7 linked regions of the Oryza sativa Japonica Group genome follow. The protein of the gene in region 3 binds, or shares a complex with, the protein of the main gene of each other region. Links are inferred from orthologs where the notes say so. Each region holds a gene or a part of one and is shown on either strand. Other genes may lie near its edges. The genes, in order: transcription initiation factor TFIID subunit 6, transcription initiation factor TFIID subunit 15b, transcription initiation factor TFIID subunit 1, transcription initiation factor TFIID subunit 10, transcription initiation factor TFIID subunit 11, transcription initiation factor TFIID subunit 13 and transcription initiation factor TFIID subunit 8.

What was found.
Region 1: transcription initiation factor TFIID subunit 1 (region 3) and transcription initiation factor TFIID subunit 6 share a complex: the UniProt entries of both Arabidopsis thaliana proteins name them as parts of the TFIID complex. The link is inferred for Oryza sativa Japonica Group from reciprocal best matches to the Arabidopsis thaliana genes HAF01 and TAFII59.
Region 2: transcription initiation factor TFIID subunit 1 (region 3) and transcription initiation factor TFIID subunit 15b share a complex: the UniProt entries of both Arabidopsis thaliana proteins name them as parts of the TFIID complex. The link is inferred for Oryza sativa Japonica Group from reciprocal best matches to the Arabidopsis thaliana genes HAF01 and TAF15b.
Region 4: transcription initiation factor TFIID subunit 1 (region 3) and transcription initiation factor TFIID subunit 10 share a complex: the UniProt entries of both Arabidopsis thaliana proteins name them as parts of the TFIID complex. The link is inferred for Oryza sativa Japonica Group from reciprocal best matches to the Arabidopsis thaliana genes HAF01 and TAFII15.
Region 5: transcription initiation factor TFIID subunit 1 (region 3) and transcription initiation factor TFIID subunit 11 share a complex: the UniProt entries of both Arabidopsis thaliana proteins name them as parts of the TFIID complex. The link is inferred for Oryza sativa Japonica Group from reciprocal best matches to the Arabidopsis thaliana genes HAF01 and TAF11.
Region 6: transcription initiation factor TFIID subunit 1 (region 3) and transcription initiation factor TFIID subunit 13 share a complex: the UniProt entries of both Arabidopsis thaliana proteins name them as parts of the TFIID complex. The link is inferred for Oryza sativa Japonica Group from reciprocal best matches to the Arabidopsis thaliana genes HAF01 and TAF13.
Region 7: transcription initiation factor TFIID subunit 1 (region 3) and transcription initiation factor TFIID subunit 8 share a complex: the UniProt entries of both Arabidopsis thaliana proteins name them as parts of the TFIID complex. The link is inferred for Oryza sativa Japonica Group from reciprocal best matches to the Arabidopsis thaliana genes HAF01 and TAF8.

The regions. Positions count from the first base shown.
Region 1 is NC_089035.1:18,531,957-18,536,125, reverse strand, and holds the start of transcription initiation factor TFIID subunit 6, read left to right. Parts: upstream 1-1,369; 5' UTR 1,370-1,672; coding exon 1,673-1,798; intron 1,799-2,948; coding exon 2,949-3,035; intron 3,036-4,169. UniProt on the Arabidopsis thaliana protein: TAFs are components of the transcription factor IID (TFIID) complex that is essential for mediating regulation of RNA polymerase transcription. Required for proper pollen function. May stabilize the interaction of TFIID with selected promoters.
Region 2 is NC_089035.1:3,330,238-3,334,238, reverse strand, and holds the start of transcription initiation factor TFIID subunit 15b, read right to left. Parts: upstream 2,801-4,001; 5' UTR 2,743-2,800; coding exon 2,691-2,742; intron 2,613-2,690; coding exon 2,342-2,612; intron 1,694-2,341; coding exon 826-1,693; intron 71-825; coding exon 1-70. UniProt on the Arabidopsis thaliana protein: TAFs are components of the transcription factor IID (TFIID) complex that is essential for mediating regulation of RNA polymerase transcription.
Region 3 is NC_089040.1:27,235,762-27,239,959, forward strand, and holds the start of transcription initiation factor TFIID subunit 1, read right to left. Parts: upstream 2,801-4,198; 5' UTR 2,581-2,800; coding exon 2,529-2,580; intron 1,367-2,528; coding exon 1,254-1,366; intron 293-1,253; coding exon 230-292; intron 145-229; coding exon 102-144; intron 1-101. UniProt on the Arabidopsis thaliana protein: TAFs are components of the transcription factor IID (TFIID) complex that is essential for mediating regulation of RNA polymerase transcription. Core scaffold of the TFIID complex.
Region 4 is NC_089043.1:20,160,801-20,164,813, forward strand, and holds the start of transcription initiation factor TFIID subunit 10, read right to left. Parts: upstream 2,801-4,013; 5' UTR 2,650-2,800; coding exon 2,470-2,649; intron 2,374-2,469; coding exon 2,309-2,373; intron 1,968-2,308; coding exon 1,905-1,967; intron 1,322-1,904; coding exon 1,264-1,321; intron 1,177-1,263; coding exon 1,126-1,176; intron 1-1,125. UniProt on the Arabidopsis thaliana protein: TAFs are components of the transcription factor IID (TFIID) complex that is essential for mediating regulation of RNA polymerase transcription.
Region 5 is NC_089035.1:28,595,761-28,599,886, reverse strand, and holds the start of transcription initiation factor TFIID subunit 11, read right to left. Parts: upstream 2,801-4,126; 5' UTR 2,760-2,800; coding exon 2,440-2,759; intron 1,812-2,439; coding exon 1,724-1,811; intron 779-1,723; coding exon 679-778; intron 438-678; coding exon 310-437; 3' UTR 1-309. UniProt on the Arabidopsis thaliana protein: TAFs are components of the transcription factor IID (TFIID) complex that is essential for mediating regulation of RNA polymerase transcription.
Region 6 is NC_089035.1:13,333,485-13,337,754, reverse strand, and holds the start of transcription initiation factor TFIID subunit 13, read right to left. Parts: upstream 2,801-4,270; 5' UTR 2,758-2,800; intron 2,671-2,757; 5' UTR 2,497-2,670; coding exon 2,292-2,496; intron 2,207-2,291; coding exon 2,169-2,206; intron 1,917-2,168; coding exon 1,857-1,916; intron 1-1,856. UniProt on the Arabidopsis thaliana protein: TAFs are components of the transcription factor IID (TFIID) complex that is essential for mediating regulation of RNA polymerase transcription. May be involved in polycomb repressive complex 2 (PRC2) mediated repression.
Region 7 is NC_089037.1:23,460,522-23,464,530, forward strand, and holds the start of transcription initiation factor TFIID subunit 8, read right to left. Parts: upstream 2,801-4,009; 5' UTR 2,502-2,800; coding exon 1,296-2,501; 3' UTR 1,188-1,295; intron 1-1,187. UniProt on the Arabidopsis thaliana protein: TAFs are components of the transcription factor IID (TFIID) complex that is essential for mediating regulation of RNA polymerase transcription.

The sequences.
Region 1 (4,169 bases), on a different chromosome or scaffold from region 3:
TACAAGAGATCCATGTCAGCATATTTTCCTACTTGGAAGAGATTAAATGAAGAGAGAGAGAGTATAGCTATCTACTAATCTGGAGATAGTCTATAGAGAAAAACGAGACAATAGATTAGAGAGCTATAGATATCCATGTAGACATACCATTGAAGTGATTTACTATTAATTTAGTCTATTGCTGAGATGTACATGTTTTATAGATAGCACTTTACATTAACATTGCGGGTGCTCTAAGTGATCAAATATAGTAACCTTTTTCGTTTTAGCAAGAAAACTTGGTTTCTAAGAGCGGGTACAATAGTGCTATTAGGAACGCTCCAAAACTTGTTAATCAGTCTAAAACGAGATTAAGGAAAGAAAATCAGTGATTGAGAAAGAAGCCGTCGCTTGTTCTGGCGCCGGCGCTTGTACAGCGCTCCACGCTGTATCGGCCAGGAGATACAATAAAAAAATTTGTTTGTGGGTTCTACTGCTTGTTAATTCGTTTGAACCAAGGTAGTTTATAGCTAACTTGTAGTTAGCTTGTTGTATGAGATGCTTTTTAAGTTAGCTCTACTTGAGACATGATAAAATTTTAGAGCCTACTACTAGCTGCACTATTGACCTTGCTCTAATGGCCGCGCACACGCCGACTGCTTAACTCGGGCAACGCCCCCCTCTCCCACACCCTGCGCGCGATTAGTGCAAGACGCCCGCCGCTAATTATAGTCATTAGTGATAATTACAGTAATTACTGTTAATTATCATAATTAGCATTTTTCAAAATACATAAATAATTTTAAATTTGAGTTAATTTTTTTTAAATTTTGATATGGAAGTTTTCATTAAGTTTTCAGTTAGAAATGAAAATTTAGAATTTTGAGTTAAAAGTTTTACATTTTTGCGATGAAAATTTTTAATTGTGAGTTGAAAGTTTTTGAAATTTGAATTGAAAGTTTTCAAAATTTGAGTCAAAGTTTTGATTTTTGAGTTAAAAGTTTTGAAATTGGAGTTAAAAATTTTCGAAACTTGATTCGAAAGTTTTCAAATTTGAATCAATTTTGAGTTGAACGTTTCAAAATTTAAGTTGAATGTTTCGAAAAATAAAAAAACGATAAGGAAACGAGTGGAGTCGAAAATAAGGAAACATAGCACGTGGATTTGTGGGCCGAAAATCATGGCGAAAAAAGGAAACAACAAGTAGGCTGGTGGGCCGAAAATCACGGGAAAATGTGAAAACAGCACGTGGGCTGGTGGGCTGATGCGCGACCATACTGACGCGTGTGCGGCAGATAAGAATTTCGCAAGTAAACACCCTAGAGAGAAGTATATAACCAATTGCTCCCTAAGCTAGGAATATATCCTACGAAGTAGTTTTCTATTTTACGAGAAATTCTTGATTCACAAACGTTTCCCAGCCACACTCGGTCAAATCCTCTTCTCGTCGGCTCCGGCGTGCATGCCAGCGGCGGCGGCGGCGGCGAGAAACGCTGGCGAGGAGGCAGCGGCGAGCGCTTAGATGCTAGCGAACCAGCGAAGAGGGCACTGCAGCAGTGGCGGATAGGCGGAGGCTAGAAGGGAGCAGTACGGCCAGAGAGCTAGGGTTTGGGTAATTTGGCGAGCGAGGAGCGAGGGGAGGCGAAGGGAGAAGAGGGGGGGGGGGGGGGGGGGGAGAAAGAGCGGGGGAGGGATGAGCATAGTGCCCAAAGAGACGATTGAGGTGATCGGGCAGAGCGTCGGCATCGCCAACCTCCCCGCCGATGTCTCCGCCGCGCTCGCCCCCGACGTGGAGTACCGCCTCCGCGAGATCATGCAGGTCCGTCCCCCCCGCGCTCCCGAATCTCTCGCTTCCCTTCGGTTTTAGTTTCGTGCACTTTGGGGGACTAGGAGGCAACTTCCACCATTCCCTTCGTAGGAAAATTGCCTGCCCCCCCGAGGCGTGGATTTGTAGTTTCTGGGTGATTTGGGACCGCAGGGAGCAATTGCTTGCTCTTTGTTCTTCGTTCTCTCAATTGATTGCTATGCTCAACCATTGTGCTAAGTTGTGTGGTGGAATATTTGCGATAGACCTATTCCAATGGGTTTTGAGTTTGCTGGACGAGATGCGTTTCCATCTTGTTGTTTGAACATGCTGGTTCACACTGACTGCTTAACTGTGTCCTGCTCAATATATGTTCACTGGGTTTTTGTAGCAATGCAATATATTGGACGGTCTTCATAGCAATGCAATATATTGGACGGTCTTCATAGCAATGCAATATATTGGACGGAAGATGGTTGTTTTTTTTGTTCACTATTGTCTCTTCAAAAGCATTGAAGCACACCATTACAGAGTTTCTGGACTGTTCAATCTTCTCTCATTCGATTGCATGCTATAGCTTACTGGTAACATATGTTGGGGTTTTGTTCCTGTTTTATCACCATTTTTTTTAATTTGTATATATTTAGTGAGGTAGTGAGTCTAAGAATTTGCGTTCTATCCACTATTTACACGATAAATTCATCATTTGAGGTTTTCTTTACTGAATCTTGGAAATATGTTATTCCTATCTGATCTTTACTCATAAATTTTGGAAAACTATCATTGACAAACTACAGAGTTGTCACAAAAAATACAAATTTAACACTGCATTACCAGAAAAATACATATTTGAGCCATATCACACAATTATCGATTTAGCACCGATTTTATCATGAAACTACAAATTTTACAGGTTTCATCTATCGTGATGAACTTTTCATAAATTGTAGTTTTCTCATAAAGTCCGTGCTTTATCTGTAGATCTATAATCTCGTTGCTTAAGTTATAAATTTGGTGTTACATCTGTTGTTTTGCGATAATTTTCTGGAAGTATATGTTGATCTGCAAAATTTGTATGTAAGCATATAAATATTCAGTCACAGAAATGCCATTCCATTTTCTCCTAGGCACTATATGTATTTTATTATGCTGTGGATTGTGACAGGAGGCCATCAAGTGTATGCGGCATGCAAAGAGGACAGTCCTGACTGCCGATGATGTTGATAGTGCTCTCAGCCTCAGGAATGTTGAGGTAGTTTCTATTTCGTTGACAATATTTTTTAGGACTACTAAATAAAGGTTTTGTAGATCTAGTAACTGTTGTATGCTTGAATGCATCAAACTTCTGAGTTGGATAGCTAAATAGTCGAGCTCAGTATTTCTCGGAATCAGCTCATTATTAAGCTAAAAGTATAAATGTTTAAGAAACTTAGAGTTGACGATCTTTTCATGGAGACATGTTAGCCATAAATAAGGCAAACTCTATGCCTGTATCTGTTTTTGGTATGTCTGTTCCCTGACATATAAATGCCATTGCAATCATCTCTTGTTTGAAAACTGATACTGCAATTGGTAGAGGCTTTTGGTGTCTGGGTGTATTCGGTGGTTTCTTCCCCTCTCTTCTTCTTTAATACAAATATACAATCCTTCTGTTCCATTTGAGAACACAGCTCTCCTGTGTGTTCGAGAAAACAAATAATGTCTTTAAAGCTTGACATGTAATTCCTCAAGGGAACAGCTGAACTGAGCATAGGGGAGAAACCATATCCTTCCATTCAGCCCCCTATTTCTCTGACACCCACTAGTTGTGAGGTTACTGCAGTCCAGTAGGATGCTGATTTTACTTTGCGTGGAACTGAATGAGAGAAAGCTGAATAAGTAGGATGAAGCCCAATAGTGTACGCTGGGTAAGATGGGGGAAATAATCCATGTGAAAATACAAAATAAAATATGAGATATGTATTCATGTCAAATGGGGTGTGCTAAGCTAAATGCACTTTATGTTAGAATTTGATGATTATGTTTTTTGTTTCAAATCAAGGACTGAGAACTATGTATTAAACATTGCCAATGTGTTTATATGCTGTTGTATATGACTTCGTATGTAAAAGTTTCCTACTTTGCTTACAAGTAACATAATGCCCCTTTGCCACGCTCAATGTTAGAACTGGGAAAATGTGAAACTGTTTTTCTTTTAATTTCAGATTAAGAACTGAGAAGTATATATTAAACATTGCCAATGTGTTTATATGTTTTGTATGACTCCATATATAGGCGTTTCCTCCTTTTTTGAGTAACATAATGTCCTTTTTGGCACTCTCAATATTATCACTGGGTTGGTTTAGCGTGCTAGGTTGGTTTCTTTGATGTTACTTTTGCTACATAT
Region 2 (4,001 bases), on a different chromosome or scaffold from region 3:
CATCAGTATAGATCTTTATGTTCCAGGGCCACTGGTCTTTGTAGCCACGTTTCTGCTTGATCCTTCCAACCTTAAGAAAAAAGCAGTTGCAAAAACTCAAAACACAGCCATGAAACACAAGCAGTTACCACCCCCAAAACTAAAGAAATTAATTTCTTGCAATAAATTTAGCTAGGAACACTAAGTAATCTGTAAAACCAACTTTACTTTATTATCAAAGATTTTACATTAACATCATGGGGTGATATGCCACGAATTATTTGGCATAAAATACCAATATGGGAGTAAAGCAAAATTACTACAAAATCATTGAATGGCTTGGTTATAACTAAAATTACAGTACTACTACTTCTACAAAAAAAAAGAGCATCATTACTGCAAGATGATTATGTTACATCAAAACAAATATCCAAATTTAATTATGCACATTGAAACACAAGGGTGTACTTCTCCACTAGCAAGGAAAAAAACAATATGTAATAAGCTCGCTCTAACTGCGCTGTATACAACAGATGGAGCAGATTTTGTGCAAAACTATGACTTGCAATGTGCTAGCAGTAGTGAAAGCAAAAGGGGAAAAAAATGTTAACAAGCCCAACTACAGATTATAAACATCATCTGAATACTGATTTGTAAATTTACTTAAATTCCAACAAGTAATATCAGTAACACTGGAAAAAGATATTATGGCGAAACACATAAAATGAAAAACATGAGGTTAGAAAAAAGACATAAAATGCACAAAATATTTCAGTGAGCGAATCGTGAAATGCACAGTTCATAAACACTAAATATGTGGGAGCTCAAGAGGAGGTCAAAGTATACCTGGCCGATTCCTCCAAATAGTTCTTGCAGTTCCTCAACAGTCACATCAGGAGGTAAGTTGGAGATGTAAATTCTTGCATTATCACAAGTCTCATCACAGTTTGCATCACACTGCTTAACCTTTGCAGCTGGCTCTGGAGCAGCACTGCCAGTGTATCCGCCGCCACCGCCGCCGCCACCACCACCACCACCACCACCATGATAGGGTGGAGGTGCACCAGGGCCTCCACCCCCAGGCATAGGCCGACCACCATACCCACCATCATATGAAGGAGGTAGGCTACCTTGGCCACCTGGAGCACCACCGCTATATGGCGGGTTCGGAGGTGGTGCACCATAACTTGGTGGATATGAACCTGGACCACCACCATAGCTACTAGGAGGTGGCACTGCAGAATCTGAATTGTATGCATTATTGCCTCCATAGGAGCTTGGAGGTGCTGCATAGTCACCACCAGGCCCACCATAGGAAGGAGGACCTTGAGGAGGAACTTGTCCATAGCTACCAGCGTCATAACCACTTTCGTCTCCCCTTTGGTTGTTCCCTTGGTCTCTTCCCCCATAACCACCCCTGCCACCACGGTGGTCATCAAATCCACGATCATCGCCACCACCTCTATTGTAACCTCCTCCTCTTCCTCCCCCTCCAGTGCCACCACCACGGCCACCAGAGTTGTAATCTCCTCCACCTCTGTTGTAGCCACCGCCACCTCCAGAACTAAAATCGCCACCACCACGATTGTAGCCTCCACCCCCTCCACCAGATTTATTATACCCTCCACCTCCACCTCCACCTCCACCTCCAGCAGGAGAAGGTGCTCCACACTTGTTGCATTCAGTCCTCCTTGCAAAGTTCACATTGCCACAACTGGAACAAGAATGATAAACAAATATATTAGGAATATTGGAAGAGAACCAATGAAATTGCAACCGAATATTCTGCAAAATATAACCAACTCAGCAAGACAACTAATGCCATATTGAAAGAAACATATTCATAAAAGAAAGTATTTACTGTATTTTGTAGTGCTTATTTACTGTATTTTGTAATGCTTCCAATAACACCATGAACTCATTTCAAAAACATATATGAAATTTCTTCTCTGCCACTCTGCTATACCAAGGAAAATAGAACATAGGGGAGGGGAAGAAATCATGGGAGACAAGTATAACATAATATTTATGTATCTAGAGGTTCAACATAAATTTAGCACTTGTGACCTAAGATTATAGGGAGCTCTCATAGAGAATGAATTATGCAGTTAACTATTTGTTGGCAGTTCTGATGCTCACAATACTACGATGAAACAAAAATTTAGTAGGACACTTCACACATGCCCCATGCAAAATCCTAAACCAAATTATCAAATAACCCAATAATTTATAATTTAACAACCTAAAAACCCTAGATTTCATGGCCAAGTAGCATAATTTACAAGACAATCGGGACAACCACGATTTCATCAGTCACAGTCGAATCAAACGAGACAACGTCAAATGAGTAAACGAAACAAACCTCGGGTCTGGGCAAACCCAGTCACCGTCACGTCCTCCACCCCTCCCGCCGCCACCTCGGCCACCGCCACCCCCACCCCCACCTCTCCCGCCGCCGCCACCGCCGCCGTAGCCTCCTCCTCCACCGCCACCTCTACCACCGCCGCCGTACCCTCCGCCACCGCCGCCATATCCTCCGCCACCACCACCATATCCACCTCCCACACCACCACCACCATATCCTCCCCCTCCTCCTCCGCCACCTCCCCTCCCACGGCCGCCTCCGCCGCCACCTACAAAAAAAACCACAAGCCAGTCAGGAGCAGATCCAGAAGCAAGCACGCACACAACCCGCAGGATCCCGACGCGACCTCGGCCGCCGTAGCCGCCGCGGTAGTCGTCGGATCCGTACGACCCCGACATGGTCACGCGCCTAGGGTTTGGGAGCGTTCCGGAAGGGCAAGTGCGAACAGAGTATTCCGAATTTCTGATACGTGTGTGGATTAGGGCAGAAGTAAGCAGTCGAAAGAGATGGATTTGGGCCGGAATTAAACGGGAGTCGAATTCTCTCGCTGCGTGTGGGCCTGGATTGCTGGGGTGTACATGTAATGGGCTGTATATTGGGGATCACTCAAGGCCCATTGGGAATTTTCTTTGGTGGGTGTTTGGCCCAGCCCATTAATAATATTCACTAGCCTTTTGTGGACAAATGAAAGTGTCAAAATTTATTACTACCTCCATCCCAAATTAGATATCGTTTTGACTTTTTGCTTGCAATATTCGACCATTCGTCTTATTTAAAAAATAATGCAAACCTAAAAAGGATAAGTCATACTTAAGGTATTTTGATAATAAAACAAGTCACAAACAAAATAAATAATAATAACATAATCTTTTAAATAAGACGAATGGTCAAACATTACAAATAAAAAACTCAAAACGACGAATATTCTAGAATGGAGGTAGTATATTTTTGAGCGGAGGGAATAGTTAAGAGTACTGATGTTAAACCTGTGTCTTATATATCTGTTTGTTATTGTTTTTTCCTAGTTAGAGCAGGGCTAACCTTACCATCAGGGGTTGAGTTACCGCACCCAATCGTAAGCACGGTAATCACACGGTAAACCATGAAAAACTAGACGATGCTATTAGAAGTTCATATTATTATGTAAATTTATTTGAATTTGACGGGATAAGTTACTATTAGTGTATCCAAAGGTAAGTCCGGTTACCGCGGAAACCGCACAATAACAAGCGATATTGTCGATTTATGACCTGTTTGGAATGTGAAGTGAGAATTGTCTTCTACTCTTCCATAAATCAAATCTTTAGGACAGCACATATAAGTGATATACAAAAATGATTAGGCTCTTCAGACATGTAAACTTAATCGGATAATTTCTCCCTCAAGATGAAAAACAAGAACTAGAGCACATATTGCTCTTGATGGGATGGAGATGCTACGTTTTGTGAATTTTTGGGTAAGCTCGATTAGTCAGACTTCCTTTCCATCCAGTAACTTTCGCCTTAAACTCTCCTACTCCTATGTAGAAACAATCAGAAAATTCTCTTACTCCAGTGCTCTCTGTTTATCTTTCAGTCGGTTTCAGACAAAACATGGACGCACATCATGCTCCTACATGAACTGCACATTTTACAGATAAAATAAGATGTCAGTTCGT
Region 3 (4,198 bases):
GGAGCTGCCAGAAAGGGCAGAAAATAATGAATTGTTATAAACAGGGTTAGGCGAAGAAACAATAAAAATATGCATTATAGAGTTACGAACTTGCGATTTACCTTGCTCAGAAGGATCAGTTGGTGCTGCAGAAGGCTTGATCAGCTATATAAGAAAACGACAGTATTAACTTGTTTGACAAGGAAAATATAAGTCAAATTAACTTAACAATGATTATAAGATAGCATACATCAATGTCTTTCAAAGATGGGCCAAGCTTGTCCGCCAGTGCAAAAAGGTGCTCCTTTGCATCCTGGTAAATCAAGGAAAATAGAAGTGATACAACAGAAATGCGGCTATAACTTATTTCATTGTATACAATACTAACTCTATCCAATGGTGTGGACGTGTGGTAACAAAATCAATACTGACACATTATTAGTTTGTGGGGTATAAGATGCTCAGTACTTATGTTGGATCCTATCAAGAAATTGGTAACTCTAATTAGAAAAATATATAAAAGTTAAATGTTCAGGGAAAAAAATAAAGGACTCATGTTAAATAAAATGTAGTGAATGGACCGCCATTAGAGGTAGGTCCATGCTGCTGTAGTGCCAAGAAATTAACTTATGATGGTGAGTGGTGAGATGAAAGGACTACATCCATACTGCCAAAACAATAATCCCTACGTCCCAAATTATAGGGCGTCCTTGTATCAAGGAAAATCAAACTCAATAAATTTTGACTAATAATTACACTAGCTATATCTATGCTAAGTATGATGCATGTTATATCATTATATTTGTATTTTAAAATACTTTATTGTGATACTTATTTTATAGTTGTTTGATAACATAATATGAAATAAATTAATGGTCAGAGTATGTCATTGTAGACCGTGTAAAAAAATATAGGCCTTATAATTTGGGACGGAGGGAGTACATCAATATTACATTGAGCAAACTTTTTATTTTGCATATATTCCTCCTACACTGCTGTAAATTTACCCAATCCTTTAATTTGCACACTCTGTCCACATCTCAGTGTAAAGGAATTGTGTGAATCATTCAGTGGCAAATAAAAAATTGCCTCCCACCTAACAAGTTCTTTACTGGACTATATCATCTAGGAGAAATCACAGGGTATCCACACAGAAATGCTAACTAACATGCATATTCTGCAGTATATCTGCTAGAGGCAGCATGATATTTTTTTATTAAAAAAACATGTAACAAAAAAAGGATATTCCACCATTTCAAAAATTGTTCAACTACCTCGTCGAGATAGTCAGCATCCAAGTCACCAGAATCATCAACATTGCCGAACATGAAGCCCAAGAAGTGATTCCCTCCACCAGGTTCATCATAATCCTCATCATCATCGTCATCTGCAAAGGATAACAAAAATAGCAACAGCATAACTGGTTGGATCAATTAACTCAGTACTAATTGATCAAGTCTAATCAACACTCATCAATTATTATGGCAAATCAATAATCCAGATTGTAGAAGAAAAGGACAAAACAATTAAAACTTAAAAGCAATTTTGTCCATCCCCACACTGCAACTCACATCCTAAAATTATTGTCCACAAAAACAGATGGTGTTATTATGAATTCAGATTTTAAAGAATTGACATCTCATCAACAAAGTCAAATTCGGAACTTAGAAAGACTGATAAAAAAGGCTCGCAGAATGATGCTAAACTCTTGTAATGCAACATGTATAAACAGAAGAATGTTGCTTTGCAGCCATAAACGATTCTCAGAGGGTTCATGTGATCTTTTGGCAATTGAGAATCTTAGACAGTCCGTTGTTTCATTCTACAGCTTCACTTCCCTAGTAGACACAGGAATGAGCACCATGCATGCTGCATTGAAAATTCACTTGGCTAAAGTATGCCCTTATCCAGCTAAAGGATCTTTTTTAATTCATCATTACTATATGTATTATGAATTCCATATTTAGATGAGGAAACTGGAGTACAACTGGACATGGAATTCTGCTCTCTAAAATGAATATATATATATAGTAATCAGTTGTGGCAATAGTTGCATGATCTTGGGCATCTCGTTTTACCCAGATTGGTTGGCTATCCAGTCACAATTCAAAACGGAAAGAATACATAACTATTTATATAGTAAAAGATACTAGCATGCTGGTATTCCTTCAGGGCTTAGAAAGTTCATGACAATTGATAAGACAGCACGGGGAGCTTGCTGAAAGAAACAGCTTTTGTCCAAACCCCTCCTAAACTTTCAAAAAAAAATGATCATCTAATCATATATATATAGGACACCAGACAGCAAATCTGCAGCTCATCAAATCCAACCTTCATTACCAGGCACCGAATTTACAGCGTAATGTGTAAGCCTGGCCACAGAAAAAACACAAAAGTACACAAGCGCGCGGACCGAATCGCATCAAAACCCTGCCTCCTCGTCGCAGCAATTCACAACCCTAGACAGTCCCACCCGGGGATCGAAGCTCGCGTCGCGGGACCACAGAAACCAAACCAAAAGGCAACAAGCTCCGTGGAATCGAGCTTACCTGCGGCACTGGTGGTCGGGTTCTCGTCCTCGCGGCGCTCGCCGTCGCCCATGGCTTCCGCCACCGCCCCACCAACAACAACGACGAGGACGCCTCCGCGCCGCGACGGCGCAAGCCGCGGCCGCAAACCCTAGACCGCCAGACCCCCCCCCCCCCACCGCCGGGCGCGCAGGCCACCGAAACCCTAGCGACGCTAACGGTGGAATTCGCCGGGCGCTGGACCGGAGCTGAGCGCAGCCAATTACTCCCAAATATAAATAAACAAAAAATTCGCCAGGAGAGGAGCGCGTCGCGGAGAGGTGGAGTCCAGCCAGGGACCGGGGGGGGGGGCGATTCCCCTCGATCCGCGCCACGTACGGGCCTCCAACGTCAGTCGCACGAATCTCAAAGCGCGATGGCGGCGGGGACAGCGTCGTCCGCGTCGACGGCGGCGCCGGGGTCCTGCACGAAGGCGGCGGCGGCGGCGAGGAGGGTGGCGGCGGAGGGGCGGGGAGGAAGGGTGGGGGGGGGAGGGGGATCGCGAGAGCGGCGGAGGTATCGGTGAGAGGAGAGGGCTCGGTTGCCGAATGCGGGGTGCGGATCGGGGGCGGCGCGGGTGGGGGGTGCGGGCGCAGGCGGGCCGGGCTGGCGTGAGATCTGGGCCGTTTACGCGGTGGGAACCGACGTTAGATTGGAGGGCCCAATCTTCCCACTAGATGGGCCGTCACTCTTTTTATAGCAGCCCATGGGCGGACGGATCACCTCTCTCCAGCCCTTTTCTGGGAGAGATTTAAATATTTACCACTTTGTGACAATTAACTATCTGTCACTTGTCACTGGACCCCTATGTCAAAGACACATGAGAGCTGTTATTTATATATGAGTGACTAATAGTTAAACACCAAATCTAAACATGGCTAATAGTTACTCCCTCCGTCCCATAATATAAGGGATTTAAAGTTTTTTTTGCTTGTAACGTTTGACCACTCGTTTTATTCAAAAAATTTTGAAATTATTATTTATTTTATTTGTGACTTACTTTATTATCCACAGTACTTTAAGCACAACTTTTCGTTTTTTATATTTGAAAAAAAAATAGAATAAGACGAATGGTCAAACGTTACAAGCAAAAACTCAAAATCCTTTATATTGTAGGAACGGAGGGAGTAGACACTTAGACGCCCCCGTCTTCTGATTGTCCCCAGTCCCACAACTCAACTCTGGTCGCTATTCACACATAACATGTTGATGTAACCTTTTGGCAGATTGGACTTGTAGTGAACTACTCCCTCTGTCCCAAAATAAGTGTAGCCATAATTTTCAGCGCCCAACTTTGACCATTCGTCTTATTTGAAAAAAATTTGAAAAAAAAAATAAAAACATAAGTCACGAGTAAAGTACTATTCATATTTTATCATCTTATAACAACAAAATTGTTAATTATAAAAAAATTTCAAATAAGACAGACGATCAAAGTTGGGCGCGGAAACTCATGTCTGCACTTATTTTGGGACGGAGGTAGTACTAATATAAATTTTGCAAACTTATAAACCCTAGATTGAAAGTTTATGGGCCTAAATAAATCATTTAAGGCCCTTTCGAACGTAGGAATCTTATAGGAATTCCACAGGAATTATAGTTCAATTCCTGAAAAAATCCTCCATTCCAAAAGAGGCCCTATACAAGTTGGG
Region 4 (4,013 bases), on a different chromosome or scaffold from region 3:
AACAAAAATAAATCTCAAATTGGTAGTATGTGGAACAAACATATTTCATGAAAGCACAAAGCTTCTATAATGATAGCTCATCTGTAGAGCATTACAGTCCAGAGTTATGTGATATTGTGACATGTCAAGGATGCCCTTTTGTGTGAGGTTTCGTGTGTAGAAGGTAGATTGATTCTGAACCATGGAATTGTAAACATAAGTGTACTGACCATGATGTGATTATAGCTGAATCAGTCATTTGCCAAGAATATTGCTGGGAAGGGAAAGCATAGAAGATCATTTGTCAAATAGACCTGTATATGAGCAGCTCATCCCTGTATATGAGCAGCTCATCCCAGGTCTGCTTAAATGCTTATTTCATGTACTATAATGTATGTGTTCTGGGGAGTGGATTCTAATCCCTCGAGGGGATGTCCCCTCGTATATATTTTTCTTTCAAAATCAATGCAAATATAGTTGTTAAAAATTCTGAAAAATATTGACAATGTAGAGTACAATTATATCTAATAGTCCACCAAAAATAAAGTTCAAATTCGACCTACACATCGAGAACCCAAAAAGACAAATTCAGATATTAACAGTGCGGTACTATTTATACGCTGAATTTGTCTTTTTTTATATCTCGATGTGTGAGTTGAATTTGGACTTAAGATTTTGTGAAGTTGTATAGATATGTTGTATAAGTGTTGTCAAATTTTTCTAGAATTTTTCATAACCGTTTAGATGATTTTTAAGCGGCACATCCCCTCAAGGGATCAAAATAGTTTCCCATTTGTTCTTCTGGTAAAATATTCCAATACAAGTAGGCTGTGACTGATTGTTGAGTTGATTAGTCTATCTGAATTGTGATTAATCGTGAGCATCGTGAAGCATATACAACTGATCAATTTGGCTACTTGTTTCATTAAAAAAAACATTAACAAGTAATCCCATTGGTCTAAAAAAGGTTAACTAAATCCATTCTACAGTAGATTTATTAATGCAGAGATTCAAGTCCTAATAAAACTAATAATTGCAATTATACGTCAAACTGAATAAACTGTGACTTCAATCACGTAAAGTACAGTGGTAACTGGTGAGCTGCAGTAAAAGGGAAAGCTTAAATTCAACAGGAAAATGGTTTACCTCTTGCAAGGCCTTGGAAAGATCATCCATTGTTAACACAAGACGCCTATCCTGAAGAACAGAATGACTGAACCAGTAAATAAAAGTACTGATTTCATGCTAGTAGTACCATGGTACACCAACTGCAATTAAACCCACCTTAGGTTGCTTGCTCTTGTTATCTTTGATAGGTGCTGCTACCCTGGCTTTGCAGTGCCTAGTTCAGGACAATAATCATGTGATGAACAAATTAGTGTGCATGATACCTTTTAACTGTCACAAGTTATGATACAAGCAACACCATAAGAAGCTTGACTTTACACATAAAGTTTCAGTCAGTACTGAAATTAGATTCCCTACCACATCAATGTTATGCATATTTCGCAATCTATTGTCTTAACAATATAGACATAAGATACCATGTTTGATGTTTCATTCCATGGTCATAATGTGAGAAGGATGATAGAAACAAAAAAAAGGAAGCACAAAGAAGATGCAAGTTGACAGTATGAAGAAAACAAGCCTAAAATCAACATGGTTATCTCAAAAAGCTGCCAGCATAGGAGAAATGAGGCTACTCAACATCTCAAGAATGAAGCATATTGCATACACCTCCATTTATGAATGATGCAAGAAACCTCATGGTTCATGACCATCATCAGAAATCATATTTCTCATTCACTATCTGAAGGTAACGAAAATTCGACTCCAAGAATCGATAACCACTAAAAAGGAACAAAATAATCGCACATACGTTTAAGTTGGAAAACAAAACGAATGAGGCAGTAAAAGTTACATACTGAAGAGAGTCGCTTGCAATGTCCGAAATGAACTTTTGGGTGGCTACAGCAACCAGCCTCGTTCTGCAGAGAACACAAAAATTATGGTTCATAAGGCCATGCTGTCACACATGACGACCAACAATCACCAAGCTGAAAGGGATACAGCGATTTTCTCCCTCGACTAGAATGGCAACACGCTGCATTACAATGCAATCCTAACAGCCTCAATCAGATCTAACTGTCACCATGTTGTACGTACTAAGAATCAGGCAAAATTCAGTCCAAATCTCTTCAGTGATTTCCGGGCACTGGACGAATTTCAGTTTAATAACTACCAATTGGCCCATCCTGGAAGGCACGGTGCAGTCTTCCTGAAAGAGAGAAGAGATTGAACTATTGGAGAGATAGATGGGGGTGCTTACAGGCGGAGGTCGGGGCAGTAGAAGCCGCTGCGGCCAAGGTAGTGCTCCACCAGCTCGTCGGGAATCTGCCGCACCACCACCACCACCACCACCACCACCGCATCAGACACGAAACCCAAGAGAGGGGGAAGCTAGGGCAAGATGGGCGGCAGGCGCCGTACCGTAGGGGTGTAGTCCATGAGGGAGGAGAGGAACTCGGTGAGGACCGCCTCGTCGTCGTGCCGCCCGTCTCCGCCGCCGCCGCCGCCGGCGGCGGCTGCCCCCATGGGCCCTCCTCCCCCCATGCCCCCCGGAACCATGGCGCCACCGCCGCCTCCGCCTGCGCTGTTGCTCCCCATCATCCTCTGGTCCCCCGCCTTCGCCGGAGGAGCTAGTGGGGTTTGAGATCTGGCACGTCGGCGGGGAAGTTCGCCGCCGATGGACCAGGAAGAGCGGCGGGAGTCGTCGTCGTCGCCGGAGGCTCGAGAAGGAGGGGGGAAGAGGGAGGGGAGTGGTGGGCTGTACTCCGGCCCTTTTGGTAATAAGCGTAGGATGGGCGGAGTTCAGGCCCGTTTGGAAAAAAAAGGGATAAGTCTATTTTACACCTATGAAGTCTTCGTTTTTGTCTAAAACTAGAAAAAAAAAGTCTATGCATTGGAACGGGTAAATGCTATTTTAATTTTATTGTTGTTATACGGTTTAGCTACGGTAAAATTCACTGTGAAAATTTGATTGGATATTTTTTCAGAAAATCATGAGCTGCAATTAGGAGACCGTATTTAATTTGAAGTTAGCATGTGAGTTTTTTTAAAAGATTTCTTATACGACTTACTTCCAATAGGAAATAAGCTTAAAATCTAACTCAAACACGGTTCTGTATTTTCAAAAGTGAACGAACTTAAAAACCGACTCAAATATGGATGACAAACCAAAATTCTAGCAAAAACATCTTCAGTTTTTATAATAGTAGAGATACACCCAATACTCTAAAGCCGGATATTTCACACCCTCTAACTTTTAATACCATTCACTTTATACCCCCTGAGCGGTTTACACCACGTCAGCAGGTCCTACAGTCTTCTTTCACCTTCCCCTCTCTTTCGACTCCCTCCCTCTATGAGCTTGAGGCAGCCATGACGAGATGGACGGAGCTGCGAGCTAGATGCGAGCATAGAGAAGAAAGGGGTCGGCGGAGAGCTTCGTGCCGAGCCCACCCCCTTGGTCGTGCTCGGAAGAAAAGGAAGGTTGGCAGCAAGCTCGATGTGGAGCTTGCCCCTTGGCTGAGGTCAGAGAAGAGGGGGGTTGGCGGCGAGCTTGGAGAAGAGGAACTGCTGAGCACGGAGAAGACGGGATCACCAGCAAGTTCCAAGGAGGGTTGATGGGCAGTAATCGGCCCCTCCTACCCAAGCTTCGATGTCATCATAAGCTCTGAGATCCGCTGCCACTCGTCCTATCCAAGTGTTGCTGTCATCGTAGACCCAGAGCTCTCCCCCCCCCAACACCCACTTGCCGAGGTCAGAGAAGACAAGTGCCAGCAGCACAACCTCGATCCCACGATAAGCTCAATGAAGGAGCCGATGCCGCTGGGCCTGCTACACAAGCTCAGGGAAGTCGTCGGCACTCGCCTCATTGAGCTCAGGGAGGTTGCCTCGCTACTCTACTTGTTAAGCTCGGGAACTCATCAACGGCCTTCTACCCTCGTCATTCATCTCGAAGAGGAGAAGGA
Region 5 (4,126 bases), on a different chromosome or scaffold from region 3:
TGCAGACAAGCATATAATCAGATTCAGCGCATACTCCAAACAGCATAGTACACAGTTCAACTATTCATAAGCCTGAAAATTCACAGCCTACGGCCAATACTTTATACATAGAATTTTCCACGGCTAGTAGTACCGTAGTACTTCAGCTTGTACGTACTGTTTGCTCTGGTTCCCTTGCTGCGACAGAAATCACAGTAACAATTTCACAAAGCTGAAGAAATACATCTCATGTCATTCTCTCTTTCCGCGCATCTGACCGCAGAAAGGACCATCTCAGTGTCGACTGGGATCAACAGAGATGCTTCAATTCTAACGGAAGAGCCTGGGAACAGTCCGCCGTGGGATCTTCCCTTCAAGTTTCAATCTTCTGTAGGCTTCTCTGATGTGGCAAGGCCTTACTGGTCCAGAATCTTTCCTCTCAGTCATAACTATTCTAGCTGCAACAGACACAATCGAATTGTCAAAAATAAAGTGAATAAAGCCATCCCTCCTTTTTCTTCTGATGTCAGAGAACAAGTTTATGGAAAGCAGAAAAGGACATTTGAACACGGACGATTACAAAAGATCAGTCATAAGAGTGATTTGCTTTAAGAGATGAGCATACATCAAAATCATAGGTGCTTTGGTGGTAGTGTTCTATGAGCAACAAAGTAAATAAGATAATTACTCTAGACTTGCCTGTTTCAACAAGCTCACCAACAAACATCTTTGCAATTCCTGATACTACAATTGTTGTTGGTAGAGAAATCTTTTGACTGCCAGTAATGCTCGCCAATAGCTGCATGGAAACAGAATATCAAATCAACTTTAAAAAAACATGGGTGTAGCTATATTTATGGCGTCATATTTTTCATCAAAAAATAGTCGGCATGTATTTACATTGTAAGTCCCTAAATTACATATGTAATTTTAGTGTATTTACAATGTAAGTCTCAAAATTACATATGTAAGTAATAAAATTACATATGTAAATTCGAAATTACATACTAATTACATATGTAAATGGGGTGTAAATGAGGTGTAACTACTGTGTAAGTGGTTAAAAAAAATCGACTGTAGCATATGGCGCCATATTTCTAGCAACTCCGAAAAACATTCCAATAACGCAGTGATCTCATATTTCAACCACTGATGAGGAAATACATTAAAGCACTTGTCCCTCTGACTAGAACGTAATTTCAAAGCATTGTTAACTTCAGGCATTCAACAGCCAAAAGTAACATTTTTACCGAGAAAAAGGTCAAACTTTGGATTGACACTACAAAAAGGCTTTCTTAGCCTGCCTATAAATTGAAGAAAAGAATATTGACCAAGTTTGGTTTTTTATTTAGAGAGTGTACATCACTTACAATCAGTAGAAACGATGACATAGGCAAAAATGTATTTATCTACAACTTGGAGCGAAATCAACTGTCCTGTACATGAAGCTCTATCAACAATTTGGACAAGACATGCATGGTACATTGTACAACTCATGGTATGCATCCACAAAAGAAACATGAACCAAAATAGAACAGGTGTTATTCAACAGAAAATAAGGTAACTGTAAGACTTAAGAAAGCAGAAAATGTTAATGTGATCCACATTTTGTGGAAAGCTTTTATTGCAAAGGGGAACACTGAAGCCAATTCAGATGGAGGCGCCACACGCATCACACGCACATGATATTGCAGTTTATACTTGTACGATATTAAATCAATGGATGTTGGGAATGAGATCATACCTTTTTCATGTTAGATTTCTGGAATCCAGATCTGCGGAATGACTCATACCGGTTCATCTGGTCTTCTGTAAATTGAGACAGTATGGCACTGGAAAAGGAGTACATAGTTTTTCAAACATAGAATTCTTATTTAGATGGGTTTAATATTTCACTATATATATTGGAACATAAATCTGAGAAGTGCATAATGTCAGGATGTTCTGTAAATAAAATCACAAACAATTGAGAACAATCCCCTTTTCCAATTCAGAAATCTCCACTAGTACAAATCTTACTGTCACAAATTAACCAAAGTTGAACGGTGAAGGACACCAAAATACACTGAACTTGATCAAGAACATATTCTCAATAGACAGTCATATGGTTCCTAACTTTAACTGATCTTTATGCCAGTAAACGCTTCACATATAGCTGGAAACTGGGACTACAGTCTTTATGAAGTGAATAATGTCAGGTTGTTCTGTAACTACAATCACGAACAATCCTTACTCCAATTCAGAAATTTCCACTAGTACAAATCTTACTGTCACAAATTAACCAAAGTTAAAAGGGTGAAGGACGCTAAAACACTGAACTCGATCAAAGAACGTATATACTCAACAGACGGTCATATGGTTCCTGAATTTAGTTGATCCTTATGCAGTTAACCCTTCATATATAGCACGCACCAGAAGAAGGCAAAACTAGGTTTAGGATGAGCGCAGCCAAGCACCTACTTCATCTTGGCGAGCTTGTCGGGGTCGCTGGTGCCGGAGGGCAGCTTGTCGAGGTCGACCTCCATGTGGTCCTCCTCGTCATCCTCCTCCTCCTGCTGCTCCTTCTGGACCCGCACCACCTTACCCCTCGCCGCGGCCGCGGCGGCACCACCGGAGCCCGATGGCGCGGCCCTCGAAGGAGGCAGCCGCAGCGGAGGCCCGCGCGACCCGCTGGCGCCGTCGTATCCCTCGGGCGCCCCGGCCGCGTCCTCCTCGTTCGCCGCCGGCGACTCCGGCGGCGACTCCTGCTCCTCCACCGCCGCCTCGAACGGGTCCTTCATGGCCGCGGCTGGAGACGAATCGCAAGAGTCCAGAGTCTTCTGAAAATTTTTGGGCCGGGGTTGACCTACCTGCTCGCCGCCGCCGGGCTTGGTGGGCTGCTTCGCGCGTGGGCCTTTTTCTCGGGCCGGATTTCTGGGCCGATTTCTCCGTGGCGGCCGCGAGAATTTTCACCGGTGAATCAAATCGCTCGTGCCGAACGCGCCACCGCTGAGCAGCTCACGCCTCACGGCGCGTGCAGCAGCGGCGGAAACAAATTCTCTAACTGACATATGAATTTTGCAGTTCGTGAACCTACATATTAACGACGTACTCCCTCCGTCTTATAAAAGACCAACTTAGTACTAGATATAACACATCCTAATACCATAAATTTGAACACACTATACTAGAATATATCACATATAATCCTAGATTCCTTTTTTACGTCAGAGAACAACATCAGAGGAGCATTCTTTCAGCAACGGCAGATGTTACACGCTTATACACAGTTGAAACCGTGATGTGGCCTACCTCCGATGCGGACCTTACAATGGCCGGGCGCAAAGTAAAGAAAAAAGGAACAAAAAAAAACAGGATTACTACTACTACCATCATCAGAACAGCAACAAAAAAGTTTCATCTTTTCGTTCGAGACGTATCACATCGTGCAACAGGTTTTCGGGACCAGAAAACTCCCAAGCCGTGGGCACTGACCCACCGAGAGACCCATCCTGAGAACGATGCATCAAACGTGTGCAATAAAAAGCTTAAGCAGCTACAAAAACAACAACCCCGATCGATCACGCTGGGATTTGGGCATTCAGGAGGAGGATAGGATTTGCTTTGCCCCCCTCTCACAGCTTTTGCATTACCTCCGTATCGCGCCTTGTTTAGTGGAGGCCGTTTTGTTTATTGCCGCTAATCCTAACGCATAGGATTCTCGCTCGCTCACCATTGACCTCCTCTTTGCCCAAGCAAAGCCTCGCCATTAGATTACTTACCCAGATCACACAACAATATTCTTCGCTAGTTCTTGCAGCTCTCTCTCCCCTGAATAAAATTGACGGCACAAAGGTGCTTTCTGGCGCCGATCACTTTGCTCCACGAATATAAAAAACAACATACTATATGCACACACATATATACTATCATACTCCGTATGATACATCATACATGTGAATATAAAACGACGAGAGCCACATATATCGTCGTGTTTTTTTTTCCGCTTTGCTGGTGATGAGAGTGAATATTCGACCGGCTGTTCGTCTGAGGCTCGTCTGACCAAACTCCCGCTATCATTGCCGATTATTATTCCTCGCTTCGGTTGCGCTGATCGCTTTCAGCAACAGGGGGGGAGGGGGGGGGGGTGCGACAAACAAAAAGAGAT
Region 6 (4,270 bases), on a different chromosome or scaffold from region 3:
CATAAATAAACATTACATACACATATGGTTTTATCCACATGCAGGTATTTAAAATCAAATAAAAAATTACAGTTAACTAAATTCTTGTGTTTGGTGTGTATTTCTGCTGTTACAGAGTGCATACTAGATTGTAGTCATGTAAAAATTTTGTCCAACAACCTGGGGCAAAGTAAGTCTGCAGGGTAAACAGACCTAATAAATTCATATCGTCGCGTATTCAGATCACGCATGGACAAATTATCTACAAAAATATATTCAGACAAGTGGGGCATGTTTAGATATCTTCACCCCATGTCACAGGTACATTTCATTTACACTATGCACGATTACAAACTCAAGGTTCCATATCATGCAGGAAAGTAGACTATATAGAGACTTTAAAGAAAATGCCTTTCTTAATATAGTTTACAGATAATTTAAGCAGGGAAGAACTGCCAAAAGATGGCAAAGCTCTATGAATCATTAACAAAAAGGGCTCCACAAGAGATGCAAATCCTGGTGATAACTATAACCGTTGCTGAACAGGTATGGAGTGTACCAGCCAGAACAATTTAAATTGGAGTGAATTGCACCTTGGGCTAGGAATATTTACCCAACTTTCTATTTGAACCATATGCTCTAGCCAATGTTTTTACTTTGGATTATGTATGTTTGCCTCTATGTTGCAATTTGGGCTTATATAACTGTCTGTAGAACTCTTTCTCCACCCGCAGTTCTACCAATGCCATCACAATCGCTACACTCTGCCTATGCACAGTAATCCACCAGCTCCAGCTTTTGCTCAGCCTCGAGCTCCACTAGTGTTAGCCCCTGATTTGAGCTCAAGATGCTCCACCATAGCGCTGAGACGGTGTTCCGGCCAGTGGGTGCAAGAGCAGGGGATGGTCAGGTGATTAGCATGGAGAGGTCTGGAAGGTTTGTCACTGTATGAAGCTCTTCAACTTATCTGGTGGTTTATGATTGAGAAGGGAACTGAGGATGGAAAAAGTTAATTAAGGCTTTTATTTGTGGTGGACTAGCTGAGAAAGGCTTGGCAAGATGCTCCACCATAGCGGCCTGCACAAATGAGCTGCCGCAACGAGAGCACATGATGGCGCACAAGGAGAGGAGACGAGAGGACTGACGAGGAAGATGACTATATGGAGGCTGACGTGTGGGACTAATGGTCCAAAGTGCAAAATTTGATACCATAAGCTGGTTCAAAGTGAAAACCTTTGATAATACCTAATCCAATGTGCAACTTAGGAAATAAAATCTAGTCCAAAGTACAGTTCACACTTAAATTAAAGTTCAGATTTGAGACCATAAGAATAAAGTATAACTTTATATTTTCTTGAAATTTCATGTACAGGTACACTAGTTTACTTTCATATGCCGGATCTGAATTATTACATATTAGCATGCAAAAAGTTCGAATCCAATATTTTTATCACAAAACTGGTTTACTGCCGGTAACTAGCTGGTAACTGGTTTTTTGATTCAAAATTTTGGAATCGAACTTTTGTCCAGTAGAGACCTGGCAACTTATTTTCCAGAGGGAGTAGTTCTTTTTTCCCGAAACCAGTGTTCAAACTTCAAGCCCTTGGGCTCTACACAAATATGAACTATAGGTTAAAGTGAAGCCCCTATTAATTCTCAAAACATAAAAGGCTTCATGTTTCCCGACAAACAGAAGCACTGAACCTAATCACTCTTTCCAGAAAACTACCTAATCACTCTTTCCAGAACACTAGAATTGAATTAAATAAGGCAACAAATAAGGATGTCGAAATCCAAATAAACTCCTTTCATCCATACAACCTTCATAAATGTAATTTCAGTAGAAAACAAGAAAGACAAATACAATGAAAGCTTACCAGGTCAGTGACATATTCTACAACAATGTCCTCCACAAGTGCAACAGTTTCTGGAAGCGGCTGCAAAACCAACAGAAAGATGTCATTTACATACAAGATTTTAACTTAAAAGGTAGAACAGCATGTCCATTCTTTCTTAGGCAATCATGTAGTTGTGTTGTAAATCCATGGCCTACTTGCAATTATTGTCGTTGTCGGTGTTAATTACCTCCAATGTTCCACAACACAAAGTACACAAATTGCATCCTATCCCCAAACAATTCCTAGCCTGAAAATTAAGAGATGAAAGGCATAGATCGAGGTCGGGCTTACATTTGGATCATCCCCAAATCCGTACATCATGTGCTGCACTGCAAGAACGGGGAAAAATGCAGCATAAACAACGAATTCGAAGAACAGCAGCAGTACTAAAGTTTAGAAAAAACAGTGCCGTACGGTCTTTCTGGAAGACGCCGCGCTTGCGCTTGAGGGTGGTGGCGGACGCGTCGGCGCCGCCGCCGCCGCCGCCGCCGCCGCCGGAGTGGTGGTGGTGGTGGTGGTGGGAGCTCCCCTGGCCCGACGCCGACGCGGCGGCAGCGGTCGAGGACTTGGACTTGGCCGCCGAGGCCGGGCTAGCGTGGTGGCCGCCAGGGTTCTGCATCCCGGCGGAAGAGCGAAGGACGCGAGGGGTGAGGGAGGGAGACGGACGCCGCCCGCCCCCTCTTCCCGACGGCCGGCGGCGCTCCCCTCCCCTTCCCTTCGCTCCTCGCCGCCGCTTGGATTTAGGGCTTTCGCGTGCACTATGCACAGCCGTGATGGATTTCTGAGGGGCGAACTGGAAGGAAACGAGTGGAGTCAGCCTCACACTAGCGGCGGAGCGTAAGGCCGGGAAGGGGGAGAGGCAATCGCGGCGGAAGCGTACCGGCGGCGAAGGGAAGGAAGCAGCTGGTGAGCGTACCGGCGGCGATTCGAGAATTTTCCGGTCCTTGCGGCTTGTATGGTATGATTTGGAGTTTACACGAGGGAATTGCGGATGAGATTAAGATGAGAATTTAATTTTTAATCCTAATATCTTGTTTGGTAGAGATGATAAAAATTGATAAGGAGTTTAGTTAGAGATTAGGTCATTAATAAAAATGGATGGCTGAGATTTGCTTAGACAAAGTAAAGGAGGAATTCCCTCCCAATTACCTGCCGTATTGAAAAGGAGGGATCTACATCCCACCAAAATTCTTATGTCTCCCAACCAAACAAAACACTTAATAGCCTCATCCCTCTAAACTCCCAATCCCTCCTGAAAACTCTCTCCAACCAAACGGGCCATTTGAGAAATTTTGCAACACACCATATTGTCCAGTTTTGCATTACCGTTTTCGAGTGAAGACCGGTTTGTATCGGTTTGGTAAAAAAAACAATAAGAATAGCAATTTTTAATCAATTTCATACGAAAATTGCTACTCACTCCGTTCCAAAATATAACAACCTGTACTAGATGAGACATATCTTAGTACAATGAATCTGGACAGAGGTACAAGGTTGCTATATTTGAGGGAGTAAAACCACTTAGTTTTCGTAAACCAGTCCCCACGGCATTTTTACGAGAACTGGGTGATTTTCAGTCAGTGATTGCAACATTAGACTTGAGATACAGGAGAGCATAGATAAAGAAGACATGAGCCACTTAAAGATAAAGGAGAAATAACACTTTCAAAAATATTAGAGCACTTAAAAAAGGATAATGAGTTAGTACTTAGAAATGTGAAGAAAATGGTTCATATAGGGAAAGGACGAGGAACAGGCAAATTATTGTACCTATGGCTAGATCTGATAATAGAGAGTAGAGCGTCAACAACTCGACAATAATGATAACCAAATAGCTAAACGTTTCCAATAGAAAGTTAGAAGTCAATGTTGGAGCACTTGCCACCGCCGCTAAAGAGATGGCTAAATCTAAGTGCCATTAAAATTAGATCATGGCGATGTGCTTAAGGACCGATGACGATGAATGAACAAGGATTTGCAATGGGACCTACAACTAGATTAGTGGTTGTGGTGGTAATGTGCACAAGGAGAAAGAGTGGCAAACCTCTGGTCTTAAATGACATGACAACTTGCAACTTGATATCTTAACTCTTTCAATACTCCAAAGTAATATTCTTGGAAGATATGGACCTAATGAGAAACGGGTGGAGATATGAATTCATCTTTTTTCAATGGCAACTTCATTTTTAGAATGTTCCTCAATGCCCTTTTTTTTTAATTCCTAAAACTTGTTGCCTACCTCCCACTTTGTTTTTTTTTTTGTTATCTTTGGTACTAAGGAATTGACTTTATGCCACCGAGTTTAGTACTCCATCCGTCTCAAAATATAACAACTTCTAACATTCAAAATTTATCCCAGAATATAACAACTTCTTCACCTACAATCTCTTCTC
Region 7 (4,009 bases), on a different chromosome or scaffold from region 3:
CTTATAAATTTTGAAGTTTTTTAAGTAAAGTTTATTTCTATTATATAATACGGTTAACAATATAGTTTTGTCATGTAAATTATAATCAATAAGTTCGCTATAATTTATATCACAAAAATTAATGAAACTTTGTAAAACCAACCATGACTACTTAACAAAAGAAATGGACAAATATTTTCATTAATAAAATAATCTAAAATAATGGGTACATAATATAATATAATGGTGTAAACTTTATTTTCAAGTATTGTAGAGCTAATTCATTTATGTATACTTGTAAAAGAGTTATATGCTGATATATTATTCTATGTTTGTAAAGTAACTTTTATTTAAAATTTATTATCACTAATAATAGTAATAATAATTGTCTCAACTATATACATTGAAAAGAAAAAAAGTTACGTACTAACGTACGTACATATATATACCATGGAAGGAGAGGTGGAACAGTATAGTCACTTTTCGTGTTTGGATTTATTTAAAGATCCACTGATTTAAGTGAAAATCAAGGGATAGATGTTTTGCTTTTTTTTTCTCAGATTTTCTACGATTTTCTTTACTTCCTCCGTTTCACAATGTAAGACTTTCTAGCATTGCCCACATTCATATAGATGTTAATAAATCTATACACATATGTGGCTAGATTCATTAACATCTATATGAATATGAGTAATGCTAGAAAGTCTTACATTGTGAAACGGAGGAAGTAGTTTATTAGAGCACCATATGGCGGCTTGAGAGCGTTTTGAGGAAGTTTAATGACCTTTTAGTATATAATAGATAGATAGATTGCATGTGCGTATCAGCAATCCTTCTAATTTAGGATATTAGTGCGGTGGTGGTAGCCTACAAGGAATCCAGTTAATCAGAACTAGCAGTGGAAGGTAGATTCGCAATTTTTGAACTGTATACAGTGGATGCTATTTTTCTAACCAAAGCTTTAAGGAAAAGCATAACAGAATGTGACTACCACATATATTCAACACATAAACCATCCATGTAGCATTCTCTGTTATCTCGTGATGTGATAACTTTGTACTTTTAAATACAAAATGTGCATATTACAAAAAAAAGGATATTCTTGTGTAGTTATGTGGTTTTCAGTTATACACTCAAATTAATAGAGATGCACGTAATGGCTATGAAGTAAATCTGCCAGGAACAGTTAAGTGAAAAAACAAACAAACCTCAAGATCTTGGCAAATGCTGCTCCAACATGAATTTGAAAAGTCCCTAGTTTAGCCAGTCCAAAATTCACCATGCAGCTCTGTGGGTACTGCAAACATACAGGAACGTTAAAGCTGAGTAAGTTCATGTGGATTATCCATTGCTTCCCTTAGTATCAACTCTGCCCTCTGCTCCTTATCCTCCTTGAAGAACCAGGGATCCTTCAGTTCAACCAGAGCTCTCGAATTCAGTGCCATCACCATTGACTTCTTATCAATCCCAATTCTAAAATACACCGGTGGCCTCTCTTTTGGAACAACCCTCTTCTGAGTCTGACTATCATTTTGGCCCTGATCCATACCCTCATCAAATTCTCCACCTTTTGATTCTTCAAATGCGGGTGCGAAGGCCTCAACAACAGAGAATGTCTTCCCCACACCAGGCATGGTAACCTCGGACACCGCCTTCTCCCCATAAGGCAAAGCTCGCTCATGAAACGGATTCGCCTTGCTCTCAACCACATCTAGTCCGTTCGCTTTGACTGCATCATCGACCAGCATTCCTGGTCGGAACCCGTCGGCACCTGCAAGAGCAAGACGCCGTTGCAGGCTGAGCAGCGACTTCTCAGCTTTCCTCCGCTGCCGCGCCCGCTCCACCTCATCCGCCCCAGCCTTAGCCACCTCCTCACTCCACAACTCGCTCCTCACATACGTGTGAGGTTCCGGAAAGGCCGGGAGCCATTCCGGGACATGGCTCATCCCGCTCTCCCTACCCAAGACCGCAAAGCTCGTCGTCGAGTGCAGCGGCACACGCTGTACCGGAAACCTCGGCAATGGCCGGCCCGCGAACGGGGATTCCTTGGACGCGCCAACAAACACGGCCATATCCTTGACGACGGCGGAGTTGGCGAGGCAACGGGCAGAAACCGAGGCGGCCCCCGCGAAGCCATAGTAGGCCGCGCCGCACTCCTCGAGGAACTGTATGACGTCGCACTCGTTTGCGGCGGCGCGGCCGGCGAGGTTGGCGTGGAACGTGGCGGCACGGCCGAGCTGGCAGATGTACCGCAGGAGGACGTCGACGAGCGCGTCCACCGCCGAGCGGTGCGCGCAGACGAAGCCAGCCGCCTCCAGCATCCGCGCCACCGCCGCCCTCGCCACCGCCCTCCCGAAGTCCCCTCCTCCACCCGCTGCTGCCGCCGCTGCTCCTCCCCCTCCTCCTCCTCCTCCTCCTCCTGCTCCTCCGCCACCACCGCCGCCTACCCTGCCGGCCCGGCCACCACCCCCGCCGCCTCTGCTGCTCATGCTCGCCTTCGCGCTCGGCCGCGCCCCAATCATACCGGCGGCACCTCTATCCCACCGCCGCGAACCCAGGCCGCGCCGCCATCGAGGGGGGGAGTGGCAGCGCCAAAATTGCGGGGGAATTCGAGCACCGGTGGTCGAAATCGGGATGGAAATCTAGGGTTTAGGGGTTGACCGTTGGGGAATCGGGCACGCGGAGGCGGCGGAGCTCGGAATTCGGAGAGAAATCCAAACCCCAAGCTGGCGAAATGGGGAGAGGGAGACGACTTGAGTTGACTACACTAGCGAGAGAGCGAGGAGGACACAAGCAGCAGCGGAGAGAGAGAGAGAGGCGTGTCGGCTGAATGCGGAATGCCTCAACACAGGAAGATTTCGGCCATCTTCCGACGGCGGGGAATGAACGGCCAGGATTTTCCATTCTCGATTCAGGAGCTTTGTCACTCGATGGGTGGATTATCGGGTGCTTCTATGGTCTATACAAAACAAAGTCAACATGGAAGGCATCCACAATGGTTATTTATAGGCTCTCTACAAGAGATCCATGTCAGCATATTTTTCTACTTGGAAGGTATTAAATGAAGAGAGAGAGCAAAGCTATCTACTAACTTATAGATAGTCTATAGAGAAAAACGAGGCAATGCATGAGAGAGCTATAGATACCAATGTAGACATACTATTGAAGTGGTTTACTATTAATCGAGTCTATTGCTGAGATGTACATGTTTTATAGAGAGCACCTTAGAGCACCCGAACCATTCGTCTATTGCTGAGATGTACATGTTTTATAGAGAGCACCTTAGAGCACCTGAACCATTGCGGATGGTTCGGGTGCTCTAAGGTGCTCTCTATAAAACATGTACATCTCAGCAATAGACTCGATTAATAGTAAACCACCTCAATAGTATGTCTACATTGGTATCTATAGCTCTCTCATGCATTGCCTCGTTTTTCTCTATAGACTATCTATAAGTTAGTAGATAGCTTTGCTCTCTCTCTTCATTTAATACCTTCCAAGTAGGAAAATATGCTGACATAGATCTCTTGTAGAGAGCCTATAGATAACCATTGTGGGTGCCCTAAGGGCAGCCCCAACCCTCCATCTAGGATGGTGTCTATAGCATTAACTACATTGCCATGTAGGACTTTTAGCTTATATGGCACTATATTAATTCAGAGAGTAAGTGAAGAGAGGAAGAAACTGGGTCTCATGCAAGACACAGCCTCAACACGAGAACCTATGCACTAGACACTATCAAATTTTGTATTGGGAGAGAATAGTATCTTCATAATAGATGAAGAATAAATATGATTGGTAGAGAAGAGAGATGATGTATTTATTAGTGGCCTAGTTTAAGAAACCATGGGTTGTAGAGTGTAGTTTCTATTGTGATGTCTTATTGACATGATATCATAGACACTGCTTATGGACACTATGGGTTGGGACTGCCCTAATAGGGTAGGCGGACACTCAAAGGTTAAATTGGTTTTATTTAGAGAAGAGTAAAGTGTGTTGGCGGTCCTTAAACTTGTAGGGTTGTGTCGTA